4 linked regions of the Caenorhabditis elegans genome follow. The protein of the gene in region 4 interacts with the protein of the main gene of each other region in a pairwise test. Each region holds a gene or a part of one and is shown on either strand. Other genes may lie near its edges. The genes, in order: F10C1.1, rme-2, emc-2 and magu-2.

Region 1 (3,998 bases), on a different chromosome or scaffold from region 4:
AAAAAAAGAACAAAAACGTTTGCAATTCTTTTCATAATACACTGCTTTTCCCGTTCAAACTTCAAGTGTTTCCCCCCGCTCATTTTCCACCGAAAAATCTTTCTATTCAATGTTTTCTACTTCTTTTTCAATTTTAATAAGATTTTTTATTCAGTTTAGTTTTTTTTAATTGAAGACAAATCATAAATACAATTTTAAATGTGACCATATAAAAATATACAAAGTATTGGAACTCTGATTCTGACGATAAGAAAAAATATTCAATTTCTCAAAATGTTTTATCATTTTCTCGGTATTCTTCTTCGGCTTCCTCATTTTTCATTAAACGATGACTGTAATCCAATGGAGCAGTTTGTGGGAAAATTGTGCTCGGTGATGACGTGGCAATTGTTGGCTGGGCTGAGAAGAACGCTGGTGGAGCTGCGAGGCTCGCAGCAGATGCGAAATCTGACATTGATGGAGTTCCGAAGAAATGCGGCATCACTGAAAACACTGAAAATAAGTTTAATTTACGAAATAATATTGAATAAGCTCTCTTACTCGGAAATCTCATGAATGGTCTTCCATACACAGGATTGAACATTGGCATTGAAGAGTATCCATTTGGTTTGAAAACTGGACTTGTTGGAATCACTGAGCCACTGGTATTTGGTGTTGATTCAGATGAGAGCTCAGGTGGGGAAGAAGTGCTTACAACAGTTTCAGAACCTGTTGGAGAGCTTGGTGAACTCCGTTGTCCCTGTGAGTCTTCGTATTTTTCTTCTGAAAGGTAGTGCAAGGTTAGTTAAGGTTAATCTTTTAAATGAGAGCAATTGACTTGTAAAGTGCTAATCTAGATTAATCCCATCAATATTGTGAATAGCTTATCCCTCTCAAATGCATCTGCTTCTCGTAAAGCTTACAGTGCTCTCTAGCTAATTGACTTACGCAACCAGGTACGGGGATTATGGAGATGGGGTAAAAGTGCACCTGTTTCCGAATACGCAAAAAGTTTAGCACGAGTGGGGTTCGAACCCACGAGGTGTTATCCACCATTGGAACTTAAGTCCAACGCCTTAACCACTCGGCCATCGTGCTGGCCATTCGACGCGGCGCTCCGTAGCCTTCACATTACTGCGGGAAGAAGAGAGCGCACTCTCATTTCTCTGTCTCGAACAGGCTGTCATGTCGACTCACCAGTATTATTATTGTTGTTGGTCGTCGGAGAAGCGTGGTTTTTCCCGTGATGTTCACCGGCATCGAGACGAAGAATATCGAGGAGATCATTCGCTAAAAAATAGAAATTAAATAAAAAGTTAGCGTGTTATTCTATAAAAAAAGAGAACAATGTGTCATTGTAGAAGGTGTGTGAGCATACAAAGATGACCCTAATGAACTATTAGTATTGTAACAAGTATAGGTCATATTAGTGTCAGGTTACCCAATAGTTAGTCTAGCACCTCGAGCACAGCGGGAAGCTTGTTCAAGACACAACTTGAATGAAAAATGACCGGAAATACTTGATCGGGAAAAACACATGCACTGATTCAGCACCAGCATTCCACAGCTTAATCCCCGAATATTTAAATAAGCTGACTTACCATTTCCAGCAGAACCCAGAAGTACTTCCAAATCTCTTGCGTCTCTTTCTTCCTGAGATTGCTGACGACGAAGAGCAACCTGAGCAGCCATAACTCGTTGTCTTTCGGCAATTAATGTGCACTTTGCACACATACAATCCTTCCATTGACAGTAACGTTTGTGACCTGGAAAGTTTATGGAATATTACATTTAAATTCTAGATTTTCCACGAGAGCACAAATCACGCAAAGATGGCAAGATCGGTGATGTGTTTCCAAAAATTGAAAGTTCTTATAGAGCAACTTATTTTATGGTTTTAACAGAAGCCGGAGCATCGAGTGTTATTGTCCCCTTATATTTTGAAGTAAGCTTTACTGGAACTATTACATGCACTTGAAAAAAATTTTGTACTTCGATTAAGGATTAAACAAAATGATTTTTCTGGTAGTCTTGCTTAATTTGACAGCTTGAATCTCGGTTTTTATTTTTTATTCTATGAGACTGATGAATATGGTTAATTGTTTTGATGGAATATTAAAATACGAACCTTTCAATGCAGAAGTAGTTCCGTGATTCCGACATCTCGCGCATTTCGGAGTCCTTTGATTCCTCTCTGCACGAATTCGAAGAATCTGTTCGAGGCTAGTTGGCGGTAGCACAGATACTGACGACGGAGAAACAGGCATTCTGTTTAAAATATTTTGTTGTGAATAAGGTGAAATGTTATAATATCAGAATGAGAGGTAATGGTTCCCAAAAGGAATGCTCAAGTCCCACCCCTTTTGCTCTTCGATCAGTGCTCGCGCGGACCACCAACCGGAAGAAGCTCCACCCTTTGTGAAGAGGGTGTCGGGGAAAGAGGGGTTACTGTAGGATCAAATGAAACAGATATATCCAGAGATAGTAGTAGAAGGAAAAGAAAAAATAAGAGACTGTGAGAAAACATTGAGTAATTTGGTAATAATCAAGTGGGTGTATAACAAGGCACTATATTTAGGAATGTTGAAAATATACGGTAATCAAATAGTTTTAAATCGAAAAAAACTGGATAAACTGCTCTTTGCTTAATCGCCTATAACTCGACAGTATGTCGCAACGTTTCAACCAACTTTAGCAAGTTATCGCAAAAGTTGCAAAAGTTAGGTAAAGCTGGTTAAATTTTGGATGATCCCAAAAATGAGCACTGAAAAACTACCGAAAGTTGGCTAAACTTGGTTAAAAGCTTCTAGCCTTTCTTGAGAAGGTGTGGCGAGTTTCTGATAGTGAGTAGGGACTATCAAATCAAATAAGCCACTTGACCTGCATTTTGTTTTAGGCCATGGTTGCCATATTTCAAAATTCCGGAGTTGAAAAATGGTGACGCTTGGAGATATGCATTTTCAAAAACTGTACCCACAAAACATTGAAACTTTAATTTTGTTCAAAAAATGTGAACACATTCCTATCCTGCTGCAAGTAGCGCAACTTCTCTCAAGATTTGAATGGAAGTTATGGAATCAATATCATCACCATATGCCAAATCACGAGCCATCAATCACCTGCCAACCACCACAACAAGAAATTCTTAGAATAAAATTGAAAGTGTTTTCAATAAAGTTTACATCTTACTAGATTCGCGTACACACCAATTTTAGAGGCTGCAATTTGAAATCGTGTGCTCTCTAAACATCAGAATAATTACAAGTTTGCCACAAAAGCATCGGGCCTAACCGCGTAATAATCACAAGGTATCATGACAAATAACTAGTAGAGATTGAGATGCTAATTTAAATTACCGCAAAACGTATTAAAGAGGCTAAGGAAGGGTATGCTAACAACAATAATCATAACATATGGAGAAGAGTGTTGGTTGTGGACACCCCCTTGTAATTAGAATTTGCGAATGCAAAAGCTCATGCTTGTGTTTTGATTGGATTTCGGCATGGCCTTTTACACATTAAATATGAAAATAGGTAATCTGTGATAGAGAAGAGAACGGGTGTACTTCTGAACAAGTGTATTACAAGAGAGCTCAAGTAAAATTTGTAAGCATGGGGTTGAGCGTACATTTTCGAAGTAGTGATCGCGAATTTAACGTCCAAGAACAGATACATAAGAACCACAAATTTCCTGGTTTGGTGCAAAATTTAACTTAATTACCAATGAATTCTGGAGATAACAGATACACTCTGGCACACTCCAAAACGTTATAATAACCTATGCAGATCTATCAGAAAACGTAGACACCTCGTGTAAAAATGAACCTGTTTCCTGTCTGAATTCTACTGAACAGCTGAAATTGTCTGGAACATTAACTGTAAAAACATTGAATAAGATTAATTGTTCATTGGTGAGCTCGCCAGGGAAAGTCGTCGTTGAGACTTTGAATAACGAAAATTTTGAAAACATTGCTCTGAATGAGCACCCGACATCGATTAATTTGAGAAATTCACATCCCG
Region 2 (6,661 bases), on a different chromosome or scaffold from region 4:
CGGTGGATAAGTCAAAAGAGTCGGAAAAGATGTTGGTAGTCAGAAAAAATGATTCAAGAACGGCAAATTACAAGGAAAAAGCACCGGAAGCTGTGAAAGACCATGAGATTCCAAATGCAAATCGAAGTGAGTTGAAATTGCGTTCAAAATAATAGGAAATTGACAACAAGATTAGGAAACTTTTGGAAAGTTTTGGAAAGTTTTGGAAAATTCTAGAAATCTCTGGAAAGTTTTGGGAACATAAGATAACTTTGAAAAGTTCCAGAAATACTCAGAATCTTCTGGGAGCATCTAGAAAATTTTCGGAAGCTTCTTCAAAAATCTGAAAGCTTTTGGAATCTTTTGAAACATTTTTCCCGTCGAAAAAAATCAACTGCAAACATTGAAATCCACGTGAAAGCAAAACTATTTAGAGAAATATAAAAATTAAATTCTAAAATGTTTCCACGTGAAAATTCCAACAAAAAAATCATGCTTGCCTGTTCATATACCTTCAGTTAGTCACTAAAATGCCAGACATCTTCGTACCTACCTGAAAATCCTAAGTCCTAATACCTACAAAATTTCCCGTTTCAGTTCCCGGAACCACACGGCTCAACGAGCCGAAAAACATCGAGGTCACGAATCACGAGGTGGATGATAAGACGACGGAGCGAGTCTATAAGAAGTTGAGGGAAAAGAAGAAGTCGACGGCAAAAGCGAAGCCAATCGATGCGAAGAGCAAGCTTCTGTTGGATCGAGTGCCGAAAAAACCATATCGATTGAAGCATAAGCCCGATGGTATGATGTTATGCGACGAGCCATCCACTTTCTACAAAACCAACAATCCGAAGAAGAAAGTTGAGACCTCTTTACTTCCCGTTGAGGATTCTTATGATCACGTTCGAAAATTGGAGGACATTAAGAAGGAGCCAGAGCAAGATGTGTACAAGGGTCAGGACGTCCCCACCTGGGCAGTAAATATAGAACCGACTGACGAGGACATGGTGAGTGAACTTTTTTTTTGAAAGTTCAAGTAAAAATTTATTTGCAGAAAGAGACCGACGAGGCGATCACGGTGAATACTGATCATTCGGAGATGTACCGTAACAAGAAGCTCAGTCTGAAAAGCATTCCCCCACGAAGCTTGTGCTCAACGAGCTACAACCGTTGGTGGAGTTGAAGAAGAGAGATGAAGTTCACTTTGAGACCAGGCTGGTGTTCTCCAACACGATTAGGAGTCTGTTGCTTGTCCATGAGAGTGCTCGAGCGCTGAGTGACGGAAAAGTGGATGATGAGTTTTCCGACAAGAAGGTGTCGTTTGATACACCGGAAGCTACATACATCTACTCGGTGAGATATTCCTGGCCGGGGTACAGCTAATTGAAAGTTTTCAGCGAATCAACCCAATCGAATCGGTCAAAGCGGCTCGTTCTGGAAATTGACACGCCAGCACTTCTACCACCAATACAACCATATCGAATTGGAACTGAACTTGATTTTGTTTTGCTTTTATCGATAAAGTGTATGTTCAGGGCTTACTTTTGAGAATTTTACTTATTTTAAAAAGGAAATGCGAGCAACAAAGTGAAAAATGTATGTCTGATTTTGAAATGCTCATTTCCTTTGAGGTTTCCATTTTTGAGTTGCCCGTAATTTGTATTTTTCTGAAGATGAGCAATTCAATTTTTAAATTGCCCGCACCTCTACCGTTTCCATCGTGTATTTTGTTAAAATATTCACAGATTAACCCATTTACCGTTTCATCCACCTGTTTTTCCTCGAAAAGATTCCAATGTTCTATAATTCTACAAAACTTCCCACGCGAGAAACAACTGTAATAAACTGAATATATTATCTATCGCATCGTTTTCAACCAGAATTAAGCAAGAGTTTCCACAACTTTAAACACCAACAACGCAATCCTAAATCATTTGCAAGATTTTATTTCAGATGCTACACTTTCTGCCTGAAAAAAATTCTGAAAAGCCGAACAATAATTCATGGTAACAATGAATGGCAGATACATCAAAGTTTTAGATGAACAATTTTTATGTATTAAATGTACATTTAAAAACAAATTGCACAACGATTCTACTACTGTCGCACTAATTTTACGTATGTCTGTACTTGAAGATTTCGAATTAATTTGTTCAATATTGTGTTAAAATGTTTGATTTATACACTCAAATCTTTAAAAGATTTATTGGAAAACATAAATGGTTAATTTAAACCAAAAATTTCCATCAAGCCTTTTCTGAAAACACTAAAATTATTTTCGTGGTGGGACCAGGCGCGCGCGTCCCATGATGTTCCTTTAATCAAAATGCATTTCTGTCCCGGCGGGAGAAATTGAATTTTCATTTTAAGGCGCGAATTTTTGCCTAAAAACGATGCCATTCTTTCATTCTTTTCATAATCTCACTCACCATGAGAACCATGCGCCTTGCTTGGTTGCTCCCACTTTTTATTCACATACTAATCAAGGTAATTTCCCCGTTTTTCTAGTTTTTTCAATGTATTTTCATGTTTCAGAACACAGCTCAAGCTCCGGCTGTCAACAACTCGACATGCGATCAAGCAAAGGAATTTGATTGCGGGAACGGGAGACTCCGATGCATTCCCGCGGAGTGGCAATGCGACAACGTAGCGGACTGCGACAACGGAAGAGACGAATCGGGCTGCTCATATGCGCATCATTGTTCGACAAGCTTCATGTTATGCAAGAATGGACTGTGTGTCGCAAATGAGTTCAAATGCGACGGCGAAGACGACTGCCGCGATGGAAGCGATGAGCAGCATTGCGAGTACAATATCCTGAAGTCTCGCTTCGATGGTTCCAATCCTTCGGCTCCTACCACTTTCGTTGGTCACAATGGCCCAGAATGCCATCCTCCTCGTTTACGATGCCGATCAGGACAATGTATTCAACCAGATCTCGTTTGTGATGGACATACGGATTGTTCTGGAGGAGATGATGAGGTCAACTGCACCAGAAGGGGACATGAAAATATGCAGTCCTCGACTGATTTTCACGATGATGTTCATCTTGTCGATCCAACCTTTTTCGCTAATGAAGACAATAAGGTAATTGTTTAATGTTTATTAATACCGTTTTAACTTTTATTTTTCAGTGTCGGAGTGGATACACAATGTGCCATAGCGGAGACGTCTGCATACCTGACAGTTTTCTTTGTGACGGCGATCTAGATTGTGATGATGCTTCGGACGAGAAAAACTGCCAAACTAATGCTCCAAGCGAAGAAGAATATCTTTCTGGGCAAGCCGATCACATGCATTCGTGCTCAGCAGCAGGAATGTATTCTTGTGGAACAAAAGGATCCGAAATTGGCGTTTGTATTCCGATGAATGCCACGTGTAATGGGATCAAGGAGTGTCCACTAGGAGATGACGAGTCAAAACATTGCTCCGAATGTGCCAGAAAGCGATGTGACCACACATGTATGAACACTCCACACGGGGCTCGCTGCATTTGTCAAGAAGGATATAAGCTTGCCGATGACGGACTCACTTGCGAGGATGAAGATGAGTGTGCAACTCATGGGCACTTGTGCCAGCATTTCTGTGAAGATCGTTTGGGTTCCTTTGCATGCAAATGTGCCAACGGTTATGAGCTTGAAACGGATGGGCATTCTTGTAAATACGAGACAACCACTACGCCAGAAGGATATTTGTTCATCAGTCTTGGTGGAGAAGTTCGACAGATGCCATTGGCAGATTTCACCGATGGTTCAAATTACTCGCCGATTCAAAAGTTTGCTGGCCACGGAACCATCAGATCGATCGACTTCATGCATCGCAACAACAAAATGTTCATGTCAATTTCTGATGAGCACGGTGATCCAACTGGCGAATTGTCAGTGTCCGACAATGGATTGATGAGAGTTCTTCGAGAAAATGTCATTGGAGTGAGCAACGTGGCAGTCGACTGGATTGGTGGAAACGTTTTCTTCACACAAAAATGTATGTTTATCTAATGTTTAAATTTTTCATTTGTGATTCTTACAGCTCCATCTCCAAGCGCTGGGATTTCCATCTGCACAATGAGCGGAATGTTCTGTCGCCGAGTTATCGAAGGCAAAGAACAAGGACAATCCTATCGTGGTCTTGTTGTTCACCCGATGCGCGGTCTCATCATCTGGATCGATTCTTATCAGAAATATCATCGCATCATGATGGCTAATATGGATGGGTCTCAGGTGAGTCGTCGAGTCGATCTGATTTAGTTCATTTCTAAATAAATTTCAGGTCAGAATCCTTCTCGACAACAAGTTGGAAGTTCCATCAGCTCTTGCCATCGACTACATCCGCCACGATGTCTATTTTGGAGATGTTGAACGTCAGTTGATCGAAAGAGTCAATATCGACACGAAAGAGCGCCGCGTAGTGATTTCGAACGGAGTTCATCATCCGTATGACATGGCTTACTTCAATGGTTTCCTATACTGGGCAGATTGGTAAGACATCTTATCTAATTTATATTTTCAAATTTATTTTTCAGGGGAAGCGAGTCATTAAAGGTTCAAGAGATGACCCATCATCATTCGAGTCCTCAAGTCATCCATACTTTCAATCGTTATCCATATGGTATTGCTGTCAATCACTCACTCTACCAGACTGGTCCTCCATCAAACCCATGCCTTGAACTCGAGTGCCCATGGCTCTGCGTTATTGTGCCAAAGAGCGATTTCATTATGACTGCCAAGTGTGTCTGCCCAGACGGATACACTCATTCCGTCACTGAAAACTCTTGCATCCCGCCTGTGACGATTGAGGACGAGGAGAACCTTGAGAAGCTTTCCCACATTGGATCTGCTTTGATGGCCGAATACTGCGAAGCTGGTGTCGCGTGTATGAATGGAGGAGCCTGCCGTGAACTACAAAATGAGCACGGAAGAGCTCATCGCATCGTTTGTGATTGTGAGGGTCCATATGACGGGCAATACTGCGAACGGCTCAATCCAGAGAAGTTCTCCGCAATGGAAGAGGAAGATTCGTCCTTATGGCTTATCGTTCTGCTTCTCATTTTTCTCATCATCGTTGCGGTAGTCGGAATTATTGCCTTCCTTTGGTTTTCTCAACAAGAGCATATGAAAGATGTGATTTCCACTGCCCGTGTCCGTGTTGATAACATGGCTAGAAAAGCGGAAGATGCTGCAGCTCCAATTGTCGAGAAGTTCCGCAAGGTCACTGATAAGCAGAGGAGCACGCCTCCTAGAGAAGGTTGTCAAACGGCAACAAACGTTGACTTCGTTTCCTACGAGACAAATGCTGAGAAAAGAATTCGGATGGACTCTTCGCCGGTGAGATCTTTTTTTAGATATTTTTTATATAAAAATTGATTAATTTCAGACGTCATACGGAAACCCCATGTACGATGAAGTTCCTGAATCGTCAACTGGTTTCGTCAGATCGGCTTCCGCACCATTCGCTGGAGTCATTCGATTTGAGAACGACAGCTTGTTGTGAATTCTACTACAAAATTACTAAATCAGATGTCTGTAAAGTATATCTATTTTTGCCTATTTATTGCATGAAAGTTGATAATGTCTACTAGTACTGTTGTTTTATACTCTTTAAATGACAATCGAGATGTGAAACACATTTCTATTTCTAATAGTTTTATTAGAAACTTGTTACATCACTGTTTAGAACACGGATAGACGGCGTCAAGAAAGAACAACAAAATCATTTGGAAGTGATTATTAAATAAGCGGAAATTATTTTTAACCATTGAAAGATGGGTATTTCTACATTCGTGGTTCAGATTCGGAACTTTGTGATTTTTGCATAAATAATACGGCGCTAGGTCTTGGCACGATAATTTTTTTTAATTGGAAACAGACGGTGTGCGCCTTTGAGAACTACTGTAACTTCAAACTTCCGTTGCAGATTTTTCGTCGATTTTTCATAGTGTTTCTCATGGTTTGTTAAAATTTATTTCTTTTTATTGTTTTAATTTTTTTAAATATTAAAAAATCTTATCGAAAAACTAAATATAAAGAATCGATTAAAATTCCGCAGCAGTCAAAGTTTGAAATTACAGTACTCGGCAACCATTTTGTAGTTACCAAAAAAGCGTGTCGAGACCGGACACCGTATTCTTGCGCAAAATTTCGCGTCTCGGCAATCATTCCGCACAAAAAATTCTGCTAATTTTGAAATGTTTCAAAAAATATTTTCAGTTTCAAAATTTATTGAAATTTAAAATACACAAGAAACTTTTGGAACGTTGAAAAAATTGTTCAGCCTTTTTTATATATTCAATTTTTCGATTTTTTTTTGTTGATATTTTCCAGTTTTCGGAATAAAAACTTCGAAAACTTCTTCCACTTTTCAGAAGTGTCTGCTTTTAGGTAAGAAAAAAGTTCATTTAATATAAAAAATACATCTTCTAGTTATTCAGCAGCAAAAATAGTTTGTATTAAACTTCCCGGTTGTGATGAAATTATTTCTAAGCTTCTGATAACTGGATGAAAAAGTGAAATAGAAGAAATCGGTTCAACATTTTTGAAAGTCAAAAACTAATTTATTCGAGTAGTATTCATACTAAATGATTCAAGTTCCTTTTGGTTTTTTCTTGGATGCAGGGACTACAAGCACTGTGGGATGAACCAATGGGGCAACATTCAATCTCTTCGAGTTGGCTGACGACTCCTGC
Region 3 (7,150 bases), on a different chromosome or scaffold from region 4:
ATTTGGTCTGCTAGACTACAAACTACAAGTTTCGATTTAGCAGACCCAAGTAGTTTTGAAGAAATTGGGTCTGCTAGGCTACAAACTACAAGTTTCGATTTAGCAGACCCAAGTAGTTTTGAAGAAATTTGGTCTGCTAGACTACAAACTACAAGTTTCGATTTAGCAGACCCAAGTAGTTTTGAAGAAATTGGGTCTGCTAGGCTACAAACTACAAGTTTCGATTTAGCAGACCCAAAATGCTGAGATTTCAGGCAATTTTTTTGGAATTTTTAACTTTTTTTTTTGAGAAATCTATGAAATTCGCGATTTTAATGCCATTTTCCCCTCGAAAAAAAAATCATTTTTATCCCAATTTTTTCAGGGTAACGTCTCCCTCTGGAAGCCATCGAACACCGCCGTGCTCTCCAATTATATAATCTACGAACTCCTCGAGGAAGCTGGTATGCCACCTGGAATTCTCTCATTCTTGCCATCAGATGGCCCCGTTTTCGGTGACGTCATCACCGCATCTCCACACTTGAGCGCTGTCAATTTCACTGGCTCCGTGCCAACTTTCAAGACGATTTGGAGAAAAGTCGCCGAGAATTTGGATAACTATGTGACTTTTCCGAAACTCATCGGAGAATGCGGCGGAAAAAACTTCCACTTTGTGCATCCATCCGCCCACGTGGACGCTGTCGCCGCTGGAACCGCCCGTTCCGCCTGGGAATATTCGGGACAAAAGTGCTCGGCGTGCTCCAGGATGTACGCGCCAAAATCGATTTGGCCAAAGATTCTCGAGAAAATCTCGGCGATTCACAAAGAGATCAAGCTTGGAGATGTAGGCCACTGTTTGGCTTGCCGATTTTTGTGTAGTTTGTAGTTTACAGGTTCGCGATGGATCCGTCTTTCTGTCGGCTGTGATCGATGATAAGGCGTTTGCCAGGCTCAAGGCCTACATTGACTTTGCGAAAACCGGAGCCGACGGAGCAAATGTGGTGCTCGGCGGAAAATGTGACGACAAAACGGGATACTTCATCGAGCCGACCCTGATCACTGTGACGGATCCGAAGAGCAAGCTTCTCACTGAGGAAATGTTCGGACCGGTGGTGACGGTACTGGTCTACGAGGATTCGAAGGTTGATGAGGTGCTCGCGACTGTGAAAGACGCGACACCTTATGGGCTGACTGGCGCCGTTTTTTCGCAGGATAAGGAGTTCCTTTATAGGTTGGCAACTACAAAAAATACAAGTTTTTGCACAGGTTTTCAGGGACTCAAAAATTTTATCTAAAAACCCAGCGGAAAGAAGAAAAACTCGAATTTTCGGGTTTGTTATGTTCAAAAATGCTGAAATTCAACATTTTAGGCACAAGAAAACTGCCAAAAGTCGATTTAAAATTATTCCCGGAAAATTCGAAATCTTGAAATTCTGTTTTTTCGGCAATTTTCAAGAAATTTCTCTATAACCGAACAAAATAGGTTAAAAAATGTCGAAAAACGATAATTACACAATTTCTCCAATAAAAACCCTCGAATTTCGTCACAAATCAAATGAAAAGCTAGAAAAACTGGCAAAAATCGAAAAAAAAAAGCGATAACAACAAACAAAAAATTTGAAAGCGACAGTAAGATGTTCCTGAGCGTGGCGAGACCCAACAGTGAAAGTGTGTGTCCCTTTAAAGGGCTACGGTATTTTTTATTGGAATTTTTGTTGGATTTCGATCGATTTTTCGAGATTTTTGAGGCGAATTTTTGTGTTAAAAACGTTTTTCAACAAAGTGTTTTTTTTTCTCAGAGCTCGCGATGTTCTCCGCGACGCCGTCGGCAACATGTACCTCAACGACAAATCAACTGGATCAATCGTCGGCCAGCAGCCATTCGGAGGCTCCAGATTGTCCGGAACCAATGATAAGGCCGGTGGCCCCCACTATGGGCTCCGATGGACCTCGCCGCTGACGATTAAGGAGACGTCGGTGTCATTGACTGACTGGAAATATCCATCAATGGAATAATTATGTTGTTTTTTTCTTTTCATTTCCGATTTTTCTCATATTGAGAATATAGTTTTCTTTTTGATTAGGTCAACAATTATTGCTTTACCACTGAATTTTAATTTTTTTTCCCCCGTGATCGCATAATAAATTTTGTTTTTTTTCCTTTTTTCCAGCTATAACCGTTTATTTTATAGTTTTCTCGCTATTTTTATACCTTCCAACCGAACTTTTCCATTAAAAAGTTGGAAAAAATCAATATTTTTCAGAAATTTCCCTCCCGAAAATGGTTGAAACCGAGTGGACGCAAGTCTCTTACGATGGTAACATTCTACAATATTCAAATTTTGAAAAAAAAATCGATAAATGCTTGCAGAAGGACGTCAAGCGCTGAAAAAGTGGCGAGAATGCGGAGTTCGACGAAGTGATGAGGTCGTCGAAATTTGGGAGCACGTTATTTCACGCTCACCGGCTTCTCTTGGAGACGAGCAATGGGCTGTGTTGGAGCAGGTGCTGAAATTTTGTCGAAAAACGCTGAAAATCCTGAAAATCTGGCTTTGAATAGAAAAAAACCATAGATTTTCTGGTTTTTTTGGTGAAAAGCATATTGGTCTGCTAGACTACAAACTACAGTATTATATTTAGCAGACCCACGCTTTTTTCTAAGTTATCACGTTTCTGGTTGATTAATAGTGAAAATAATACAAATTTCGGCGAAAAACTGGAAAAAATCAATAAAAACGGTCATTTTTTACTGAAAAAATGATTATTTTCGAGAAAAAATTCAATAATTTGGGTCTGCTAGACTACAAACTACAAATTCATATTTAGCAGACCCAAGTGGTTTCGATGAAATTTGGTCTGCTAGGCTACAAACTACAAATTCATATTTAGCAGACCAATGTAGTTTTGAGGAGATTTGGTCTGCTAGACTACAAACTACAAGCTTCGATTTAGCATACCCATACTCATTTTTCACGAGAAAATCGAATTTTCACCTAATTTTTCCAATTTTTTTCAGGTGTGCATCGCAGCACTCGACGCGGCTCGTGTCGATCTGGCTCAGGATTGCATTGACCAACTTCACGCACAATTTCCGAAGAGTAATCGAGTTTTGAAGCTGAAAGCGATGCAGTTGGAATCTACGGAACATTATCAGAAGGCGTTGGATATTTATGAGCGACTGGTTGAGGATGAGCCCAATAATAATGTAAAAAATTCAGGAAATTTTTTTTTTGCAAAATTTCTAATAATTTGAATTTTCAGAGCTTCCGCAAGCGAAAAGTCGCGGTTCTTCTCGCTCAGGGAAAGCGTCTCGACGCAATTCGAGCTATCAACGATTACCTGAAGGTTTTCATTTGATTTCTAGAAAAAAAAAACTCTAAAATTTATTAATTTTCAGATTTTCCTGAACGACCCAGAAGCTTGGCTTCAGCTCAGCGAGCTTTTCCTGCTCGAAAATGACGTGGCAAAGGCGGTACATTGCCTGGAGGAGTGTGTGCTCATTTCGCCGCTGAATTCCATGTATTTCAGACGATTAGCCGATTTGAGATATACTCAAGTATGTGTGTGGAAAATTGGAGAAATTTGGGCCTGCTGGGGGCTACAAACTACAATTCATATTTAGCAGACCCAAATACATTTTCAATGGAAATTGGTTTTTTCTCGTTTTTCTACTTTTTTTTTTGAAGAAAAAAAATCGAAAATTGTCAGTTTTCCGTCAAAAAAATGTCAGAAAAACAAATTTTCAACGAAAATATATTATTTTAATGCAAAAAATGAAGAAATTTTTAAAAAATATAGAGAAATTACCGAAAATGATTGAAAATTGATTTTTTTTAAGGAAAACTAAAAAAAATTGAACGGTCTGCTACAATGCAAACTACAAAGTACAATGTTCGATTTAGCAGACCCAAGTGATTTTGAAAAAATTGGTCTGCTGGACTACAAACTACAAGTTTCGATTTAGCAGACCCAAGTGATTTCAATTCGAAATTGGTCTGCTAGACTACAAACTACAATGTTCGATTTAGCAGACCCAAGTGATTTTGAAAAAAATTGGTCTGCTAGACTAAAAACTACAATGTTCGATTTAGCAGACCCAAGTGATTTTGAAAAAAATTGGTCTGCTAGACTACAAACTACAATGTTCGATTTAGCAGACCCAAGTGATTTTGAAAAACTTGGTCTGCTGGACTACAAACTACAAGTTTCGATTTAGCAGACCCAAGTGATTTTGAAAAAATTGGTCTGCTGGACTACAAACTACATATTCATATTTGGCAGACCCAAGTGATTTTGAAAAAAATTGGTCTGCTAGACTACAAACTACAATGTTCGATTTAGCAGACCCAAGTGATTTTGAAAAACTTGGTCTGCTGGACTACAAACTACAAATTTCGATTTAGCAGACCCATGTGATTTTGAAGAAATTCGGTCTGCTAGACTACAAACTACATATTCATATTTGGCAGACCCAAGTGATTTTGAAAAAAATTGGTCTGCTAGACTACAAACTACAATGTTCGATTTAGCAGACCCAAGTGATTTCAATTCGAAATTGGTCTGCTAGACTAAAAACTACAATGTTCGATTTAGCAGACCCAAGTGATTTTGAAAAAAATTGGTCTGCTAGACTACAAACTACAATGTTCGATTTAGCAGACCCAAGTGATTTCAATTCGAAATTGGTCTGCTAGACTAAAAACTACAATGTTCGATTTAGCAGACCCAAGTGATTTTGAAAAAAATTGGTCTGCTAGACTACAAACTACAATGTTCGATTTAGCAGACCCAAGTGATTTCAATTCGAAATTGGTCTGCTAGACTAAAAACTACAATGTTCGATTTAGCAGACCCAAGTGATTTTGAAAAAAATTGGTCTGCTAAACTACAAACTACAATGTTCGATTTAGCAGACCCAAGTGATTTCAATTCGAAATTGGTCTGCTAGACTAAAAACTACAATGTTCGATTTAGCAGACCCAAGTGATTTTGAAAAAAATTGGTCTGCTAGACTACAAACTACAATGTTCGATTTAGCAGACCCAAGTGATTTCAATTCGAAATTGGTCTGCTAGACTAAAAACTACAATGTTCGATTTAGCAGACCCAAGTGATTTTGAAAAACTTGGTCTGCTGGACTACAAACTACAAATTTCGATTTAGCAGACCCATGTGATTTTGAAAAAATTGGTCTGCTGGACTACAAACTACATATTCATATTTGGCAGACCCAAACTATATTTTTTGCAGGGAGGCGCCGAAAACGTGGAATTGGCTCGTTCCTACTACGAACGTGCGCTCAAAATCAACCCAACCGATTTGAGATCTCAATACGGAATTCTATTGGTAAGTGTAGTTTGTAGTTTGTAGTTTGTAGTTTGTAGTCTATATTAATGTTTCAGAGCAACAATTTGATCGCGGCGACCACCAAAAATGCGACGGAAAAGAAGAAAGCCGGAGCTGCAGCAGTTGATGCAATCGATAATTTGGTTAATCGTTATCAGAAGGTAGATTTTGATAAAATTAATAGTTTTTAATTGGAAAAAGCTCTAAAAACTCCAAAAAATGCCGAATTTCGGCTGTTTTTTCTTGAATTTTTTGAAAAAAAAATTCGAAAAAAATCGTGATTTTTCTAAAAATAACCTTAAAAAATTCCAGATAAGTCCAAAAAGCAATCCAGAATCGGACGGAATTCTCAATTGCCTCGAAGCCATGAAAGTCACTGTTGGAAGCAAATAAATTGTCAATTTCCTCCCAAAAAATGATATGCTTTACGTACATTCCCCCGAATATTCGATTATTTCCTATTTATTTTCTGTTAAAATTCAATTTTTTTAATGTCTATCGAAAGTATATTTATCGAAAAAAAGAACTCCTCAAGAATAAATAAATGTGATGATTTTTGCCACCGTTTTTGCTCCATTTTAGAGTCTTGGGTCTGCTAAATAGCTTTTTGTAGTTTGTAGTCTGGCAGACCAATTTTTGATAGCAATTTTTAGACTAAAAACTACTTTTTTCTTGAAAATCTTGAATTTTTGCGTTATTTCACATCTATTCCGGTTTTTCCGGCTCCTTTTTGGCGCTGAAATCGATAAGTTGGGTTACTGTAGCCTCAGAAGTACGCAAACACCATGCGACTCACGCAAAAATGCACAGAAACCTGAAAGATGCGCGAAAAAAGCCATACATGGGTAAAAATTTGTGTAGAATTCAATTTTTGTGTCAGAATCGTTTAAAAAATCAGTGAAAAATGATAATTTTCAGAAATGTTGAGCCAAAAAAAAATTATTGATTTTTGTGCATTATCAGTTTTAAATTTGGATTTTTATGTTTTTTCACCCATACGAGACTTTTTCGACTCCATTCGAGTTGTAATAAAAATTTCCGGGTTACTGTAGCCTCAAAAGTACGCAAACATGGAACACTTTACGCAAAAGTGCAGAGAATTCTAAAATTTGCGGAAAAAAGCTGCATAAGGGTAAAAATGTGTGTAGAATTCAATTTTTGATATCAGAATCGATAATAATCAGCGGAAAGTACACAATTTTCGTGCTACAAACTACAAAATCCAATTTTCTCGAATTTTTCCGTAGAATTCCGTATTTTAGTTCCTGAAACTCCCCTAAGAAACAGAGAAAAAGCAAAAAGAGCTCCCTCTTAAGAGGTGCTAATTTGTATAAAAAAGAAAAACAAATTAGCGCGGGGGGGGGGGGGCCTAAAAGGGGCGCTAATTAGCAATTTTGGTCCCCGTCTTCCTCCAAATTTTTGCACGTCTTCAGATTCTGAATGTATTCTGCAATATTCTGAGTACTTCTAATATTTCTAGCATGTTTTGAGATTCTTTTTGGAAACGAAAATTTTCAAACAAATTTTTTTTTGAAAATTTGAAAAAAATTCCAAAAATGGGCATAATTTTGGCGTATTTCCGACGTCCCAAGCTTGATATCGACAGGGTTCGGTCGGTCTGGATGGATCATATCAATGGAAACGATCAGTACTTCCAAGAGGTGAGTTTTTACATATTTTTGCCGATTTGGCCCGACAAAACTGCTTTTACTGGCTAGTTTTCTCAGAATTCTGTATTTTTCGCTGATTTTCTGAAGATTTCATTATCAAAATCGAATTCTACGTCAATTTTTACTCCGATAAGGCTTTTTTCCGCGAATTTTGG
Region 4 (6,234 bases):
TCACGATATGGCAGGCAAAGAGCGGGAAAAGGGGATTGGGGAGTCTAATTAGACAAGGTTATATACTCTGTGGATAGGTGAGGTAAAGGATGCGGATTATTAATGAGGTATGACAGAGGATATATGACTACATAGGTTCTAATTAAGAATACGTTAGATATTTTCTCAAACTTCAGTCTAAAAAATCTATAGTTTGATATTAGTACGGGTGTATATTTAAATATAATGTCCCAACGATCTGTTTTTAAATTGAACAGCAAGTTGCAAATATATGTAAAAGATACCAAAAGCTATTATATAATCTGACATCTAAAAAACAACAAAAAATCCAAAACCTAAATATTTGCTCCACACCATTTTTCCCGTTCGCTAAAGTTCGAATGTTCTCAGATTTCAAAAGAGATCAATAAATTAGTTTTTGTATCGGAGTGCTTCTCACTAACATGTTTATTGGAATAAAATACAAAAAAGTAAAGTCTCATTTTTCCAACAAGAGCTGACGTATTTTAAACCAAACGAAATATAAATTGTTAAATCCCAAGTTATATTTATTGAATGCATTCCACTTATGGAGTGAATCTAATTAGAGGCTCAATTCATTTTCAAAAGAGTGGTCTAATAAGAAAAAAAAAAATGTAGTTGAGTTTCAATTTTTTGAAAATCAAAAAGTTTAAAAGTAAAATTTGAGGAGAACCCAGACTTTGTAAAAAATCAAAACTGAATGTTTGCAGTTTGGATTGAAAAATTGACATACTCGGTTTTGTGACTAAACAACTTGACACGTACTTATTATTATTACGAAGTGTGGTAAGAGGTGTTACCAAAACAATTTGAAGAACATTCGATCATAATGTTGGTTTTGATTTTCTCTTCCAAAAATCATTATGAAGATGAAAATGTGGAAAACCATGCTGGTCACCCAACATCAACCAAATCTAGTCCTAGAATAATTCCCCATTCAGCCTGACTCTCTTCATGACAATTGTATACAAAGTGGTGCAGGTTGAGGGAAAAGAGGAAGGTGAGAGTGAGTGAGGGTCGAAACAATAGACGGTATTGTAGTTGTTCACACACAGTCCGTATTGCATCTTCATCATCTTTCGTGCGCGCTTCTTCTACTTTTATGTTTGCTCATCACCAGCTTTACATTTGAGGTCCCGTTTGCGCATCCCTTCCTATTGGGGAAAAGATGTATACAAATACATATTTATGAAAACCACGATTTAGAAGGTGGTGGCTATGATGTATAAATATTTTTAAGCAATGATGAGACATATCGGGAAAGTAGCAAAACACTAAGAAAATGAAAGGTTCTAAAAATGAATATTACATATAGTAGCTGAAAAAATAATTTTTGAATCAACAATATTTAAATTATACAGACTAATTTCTAGAATTCGAACCCAATATATTTCCAAAAATTGCAAATTATTCCTATACTCCTTGAAATTTTCGAAACATTAGAAAAGTAATAAAATATCTTCTGCTCCACTGATAATGATAACTTAAAATAATTTGCCACTTGATAACAAATATAAAAGCAAAATTTTGTTAAAGTCGCGATAACTGTGTCCATCACCAAACAGTTAACCGATCCACAACTACACAAAAACCGTACCGTCCTCAAAAATTTATGATGCATGAAATTTGCACAATGATGACAAAAAGAGGAACGGTTAGGGTTGAATGGAAAAAAAGAAAGTGTAAACGGATTCAATAATTATTTGTTAAATTTTTGGGTTTGGAAAGAACGGTGCAATTGACAATTGTCGACAAGGAAAAGTGAGGAGACGAATGGAAAGCAATAAATGGTTTATGTCAATAAATAACAATGTGTGTCTAATGTGTTGGAGTTTGATGTATTCGTTATGACCTTTCACCCATTTTTGGAAAGGTATTCCCCCGAAAATAAAATTCTGTGACTCTTTGTAATTTGAGAGAACGGCAGTCGTTGCTCCTTATTCAATTTTTGACGATTGAATTAAAGTTTTGCAGAACATTTCCTTTGAAAAAGTGTGTTGAAATTTTAGCTGCAGCTGTATAAAATCTTTTTCTGATAGTTTCAGTCGTGCTAAAAGGGTGCTAAAAGTCATTGCTTTTCAAAACATACAAGAATCAATAAATTGAAAGTAACATGTTATTCCAAAGCTAGGCAAGAGTTTAGCTAACTGTGAACATACAAAAAATCTCAAAAGCGTAGTAAATTGTAATAAAGAACTGTAACGTTCTGAAACCCTAACAACCTGCAATTATCACAAGTCAGACAACCTTCGAAACGAAGAGAACACAGAATTTGAGTGATGATAGTTTTTTGATAAATAGTGTAATGAGACAGAAACATTTAAAAAGTTGATGAAAGAATAAGAAAAAAGGAATGAGAAAGAGAGAATGAGTGTGATAAGCGCAATGGGAGGTTCTATTACTTGAAAATGCCACTGACTGTGAAATAGAATATCAGGGAGACATAAAAAAGAATCGCCAGGTTGACTGATTAATCACTAGATTTATTGATATATTTGACGACGGAACTCTCCGTTTTTTCTCTTTTTTTTTCTCCATTTTTTGTCTTCACCTTGACAGATTATTGGTTTGTGACATACTAGACGTGCCGACTAACTGTGTGAAATACTAGAATGTGACCTATATAGTTGTGAAGACTGGACGAACGAGAATTCCAAATTAGCTCACATTCATAATCTCAGTGTTTTTGTGTTTCCCTGCCCGTCAGAAAGTTTCGAGGCCATTAATTAATTTCTAGAAAGCAGGTCGACGAGTGAACAACAAAGATTTTAAAGAAAATGAAGAGAGATGAATTTTTTAAGTGAAATGAAATAAATATGAGAACTTTTCAAGAACATTGATTTGCCAAAAACCAAATCTTAGTGGTATTTGCACTATTTGTCATATATTCACTGTTTATGCATATACCATAAATAGAGAGCACTTAAGAACTCTTCTTTCCGTTCTTTACACGTTCCGCTTCTCACAGATAGTATCGCAGAGAAGAAAATCTCTCTCAAAAAAAGATTACTCACTTTTTCAGCCGTTTAGTAACTTCCTTGATATGATCCTTATCCACGGAAACTAGATATGCATCCGTTATCATACGATTCGAATTTGTGCCTGAAATTAAACAAAAACTAAGTATTAAAAAGGAAAAAGTATAAACTTTTTTTTACTCACAGTTAAAAACAGAAGCTTCATTTTCTGCTGGAATTTCTAATGCACGACGTCTAACTTTCAGCTGAATGATTTTTCGACGAATACACTGAAATTTGAAATTTTGCAAGAAAGTATCATAAATTTTATCAAACTTCTTGAATATAAGTTGTGACTTCCTCATAACTTTTTCCTTCTATTTTCATGTCATTTACCCCAACGATTTCATCTCCAATGCTCAATCCTGCTCTTTCCGCAGCAGTTCCTGTAATGGAAATCGATTATTTTTTCAGAAGTCTGCATAAAATTTGTAAAGCACTTTATATCTGATTTCCAGACACCTTGAAAAAAGCGAAAAAAATTGCGATATAGGTTAAAAAAACGCCCACTTTGCCGATGCCATCAACGATTTGGAGAATCGCATTAGTACAAATGTTCGTTGACAAAATTTCAGTAAAAATTCATCAAAATTGCAAATTATTTCAATAAAAATACTTCAAAATGTTTTTATAAATTAGTCAAATAAAATTATCTTTTACTTACCGTACAGCCGAACAACCTTCTCTTCTCGTTCAACCAAAATTACAAAACCACTCAACGGCGTCGAAGTGCTCACAACGGTCTTCTTATTTCCAACACCACGTGCACTGCTCAACCGTCTCAAGGATGTCCTTTTCAAGTCGGACAGTGCCTGTGGTATCGACACCGACTTGGACATTTGATACTCGAGCCACTAGATGAAGGCTGAAAATTTTTTGGGAATATTATTTCCAACGAAAGCGAAAATAAGAAAATGAGAATCCAAATTTCTGAAAATAAAGCAATAACTGAATCGGAATGGAATTTATGAGTAGGTGAAATGAAAAAAGTTGTTTTGAAATCTCGTGGTTTTCATTTTGAATGATGAATGCTAGGATTCCGGGATCTGCTCAAAACTTGGATCTAAAAATAATCATAAACTTGAAACAAATGAATAGAAATGTCAGAATCACTCGAAAAACTGCTACTTCATGTAAGCGTTGTTGCGTGAATAATTGAGACAGAAAAAGAACCGAGAAGAAGAGTTGTGATGAGTGCACTTTCTTAGTTAATTGCTTTTTTTCTTTTCTTCTGCAATTGTTTTTTGTGTTTCAAGAGCTTAAAGAGGAATGGGGGATAAGAACTAAAAGACTTGAAGCGCTTTTGATGAGATGGACTTTTTGGGGTAAATTGGAAAAAGACCGACAAAAATGGGAATAGTTGAAGAGAAAATTCAAAATAACAAAAAAAGGGAGCTGTGTATAAGGGGTACTGTATGTCTTAAAGTTGAGAACAGAGGTTATGGACAAAAAAATAATCTTAAAGTTATCTGAGAAAGTTACGGTATCATAGAACATATTTGCCAGATAACAAATTTCTAAATTGTTGCCAAATTAAAAATGCAATCTTAATTATTGACTCACGAAAAGCACAATTAAAAGACTCCACATATCAATACAATATTTTTATCTGTAGTGACATTTTCTAGATTGATAAAAACAGCTACTTTAAAGATTTTGAAAGTAAATTTTAAGTTTTTCCTTTGAATTTCAAAAATACACTTCTAAAATTAGGCATATCAGTGAAAGTTTGCGTATTTCAAGGAAAACAGTAAGTGCAGCTGTCAAGCATGCTGCAAGCAATTAAAATTACACACACTCTCTAAGAATTCATAAAATTGTCTTGTCACGTTTGTTCAATCAAAAAAGATGAGGTCTTCAAAGTATCCATGAGCTCAAGACACACGGAATGAAGCACTAAATAATAGCTTTTCCCGGGGATAAAAAATTGAACGAGACAGATGAAAACAGTGGTCCAGATTGATGATATTGACATTCATTCCACTAGTTCAGTGTGACAGGGAGATGGATAGATTGGGAATGAAAACTGGATGAGAGAGCTTGAGATTTAGAGTGACAAATAATTATGGGGGATCCTCTTGAGAGAATCGCACCGAAACTATGTGCATCGTGTCCGGCAGAGGGAAACTAAAAAAAAAGATTTTTGACGCCATTGGTGTGTCTTCTGTGTCTTTTTCCACAGAGTCTCGAGTATAAAAAGTGAGAACGAAGAAGATACAGATAGTCGAGGATGGGGCAAAGAGAGAAAGGAAGATGGCGGTGTGGGTGGGAGAGCACAAGAAGGTCCAGTCTGGGGACAGAAAGAAGCACATGGAGCAAGAAAGAGAAAAGGAGATGGTGAATTGTGACATTCGACCCGCAGGGATTTGAAGAGACGCAGGCCGCATAGAAAGAACAAGCTATAAGATAGAGAATAGCCAGCTGATTAGTGCTGATTTCATTGATCAGCTCATCTATCTTCAACATGTCGTCTTGTAATTTTCTCTGAGACAAATTACGCCGATCTTCTATTGTGACTCTCGTAGCTTTGAAAAAAAACCAAGACAAATAACACTACTATTATGGTTAAAGTTCGTAACTTAAAAAAAAAAAACTTTTTTCACCCGCCTCTCGGATCTCAGTCATTTTTAGGCTAGTTTCGAGTTTGATGGGCATATTTTATTTTGTATAGAATGCAAAAAACAAATATGGATTTTGAGAATAAGTTGTGAGAAGATATTGTGAAAAACATAAACGTCCATCGTTGATAATCTTCACAAAACGTTTGTCGAGAAACTATGATTTTATGCGGAAATTATGCAAACAGTTTTTTGAAATTCTAAAACATATTAAAATTTCAAAATATAACCATTTAAACTAAATAGGAAAACTAATTCGCTTAATCAATTTTGAAAAAATTTTGAACCGTACGCATTTTGTTCAATCTCTAGAGAACTAGCGACACTTTTAAAAACTTACCGAATTTCTTGTATTTCTCTTGAAATACTTTTGGTTTAAAATTTTGTGTGGAAAATACTTTGAGATTGTAAGGATTTTATGTTTGAAAATAATAACGTTCATAGAATGTATATGAGTCAATGGAAGAAAACTTTTTTACAGTATCAAAATTTATAGTCAACCTGCTGCAATTTTATATTCAGCAAGTTTTACAGGAAGTCAAAATAGCAATAAGAAAGTCAAACTCAAACAAAAGTGT

The links.
Region 1: the proteins of magu-2 (region 4) and F10C1.1 interact in a two-hybrid assay, tested with the Caenorhabditis elegans proteins (one large-scale study listed by BioGRID).
Region 2: the proteins of magu-2 (region 4) and rme-2 interact in a two-hybrid assay, tested with the Caenorhabditis elegans proteins (one large-scale study listed by BioGRID).
Region 3: the proteins of magu-2 (region 4) and emc-2 interact in a two-hybrid assay, tested with the Caenorhabditis elegans proteins (one large-scale study listed by BioGRID).

Annotation. Positions count from the first base shown.
Region 1 is NC_003280.10:5,771,923-5,775,920, forward strand, and holds F10C1.1 (uncharacterized protein), read left to right. Parts: upstream 1-2,306; coding exon 2,307-2,498; downstream 2,499-3,998. Other genes in the region: Doublesex- and mab-3-related transcription factor dmd-5, read right to left, coding at 269-492, 541-762, 1,177-1,269, 1,581-1,745, 2,108-2,246.
Region 2 is NC_003282.8:5,467,620-5,474,280, forward strand, and holds rme-2 (EGF-like domain-containing protein), read left to right. Parts: upstream 1-2,407; 5' UTR 2,408-2,409; coding exon 2,410-2,466; intron 2,467-2,514; coding exon 2,515-3,066; intron 3,067-3,113; coding exon 3,114-3,963; intron 3,964-4,008; coding exon 4,009-4,199; intron 4,200-4,248; coding exon 4,249-4,457; intron 4,458-4,501; coding exon 4,502-5,303; intron 5,304-5,352; coding exon 5,353-5,469; 3' UTR 5,470-5,555; downstream 5,556-6,661. Other genes in the region: T11F8.4 (non-specific serine/threonine protein kinase), read right to left, coding at 6,559-6,661.
Region 3 is NC_003280.10:1,301,230-1,308,379, reverse strand, and holds emc-2 (ER membrane protein complex subunit 2), read left to right. Parts: upstream 1-2,243; 5' UTR 2,244-2,260; coding exon 2,261-2,297; intron 2,298-2,350; coding exon 2,351-2,484; intron 2,485-2,828; exon of another isoform or gene 2,829-2,879; intron 2,880-2,995; coding exon 2,996-3,184; intron 3,185-3,240; coding exon 3,241-3,324; intron 3,325-3,376; coding exon 3,377-3,535; intron 3,536-5,229; coding exon 5,230-5,325; intron 5,326-5,381; coding exon 5,382-5,486; intron 5,487-5,637; coding exon 5,638-5,718; 3' UTR 5,719-5,881; downstream 5,882-7,150. Other genes in the region: alh-6 (L-glutamate gamma-semialdehyde dehydrogenase), read left to right, coding at 365-823, 873-1,210, 1,779-1,995; glb-31 (Globin domain-containing protein), read left to right, coding at 6,882-6,986.
Region 4 is NC_003283.11:8,797,120-8,803,353, forward strand, and holds the start of magu-2 (MAGUK p55 subfamily member 5), read right to left. Parts: upstream 3,910-6,234; 5' UTR 3,878-3,909; coding exon 3,703-3,877; intron 3,425-3,702; coding exon 3,315-3,424; intron 3,269-3,314; coding exon 3,184-3,268; intron 3,124-3,183; coding exon 3,036-3,123; intron 1-3,035.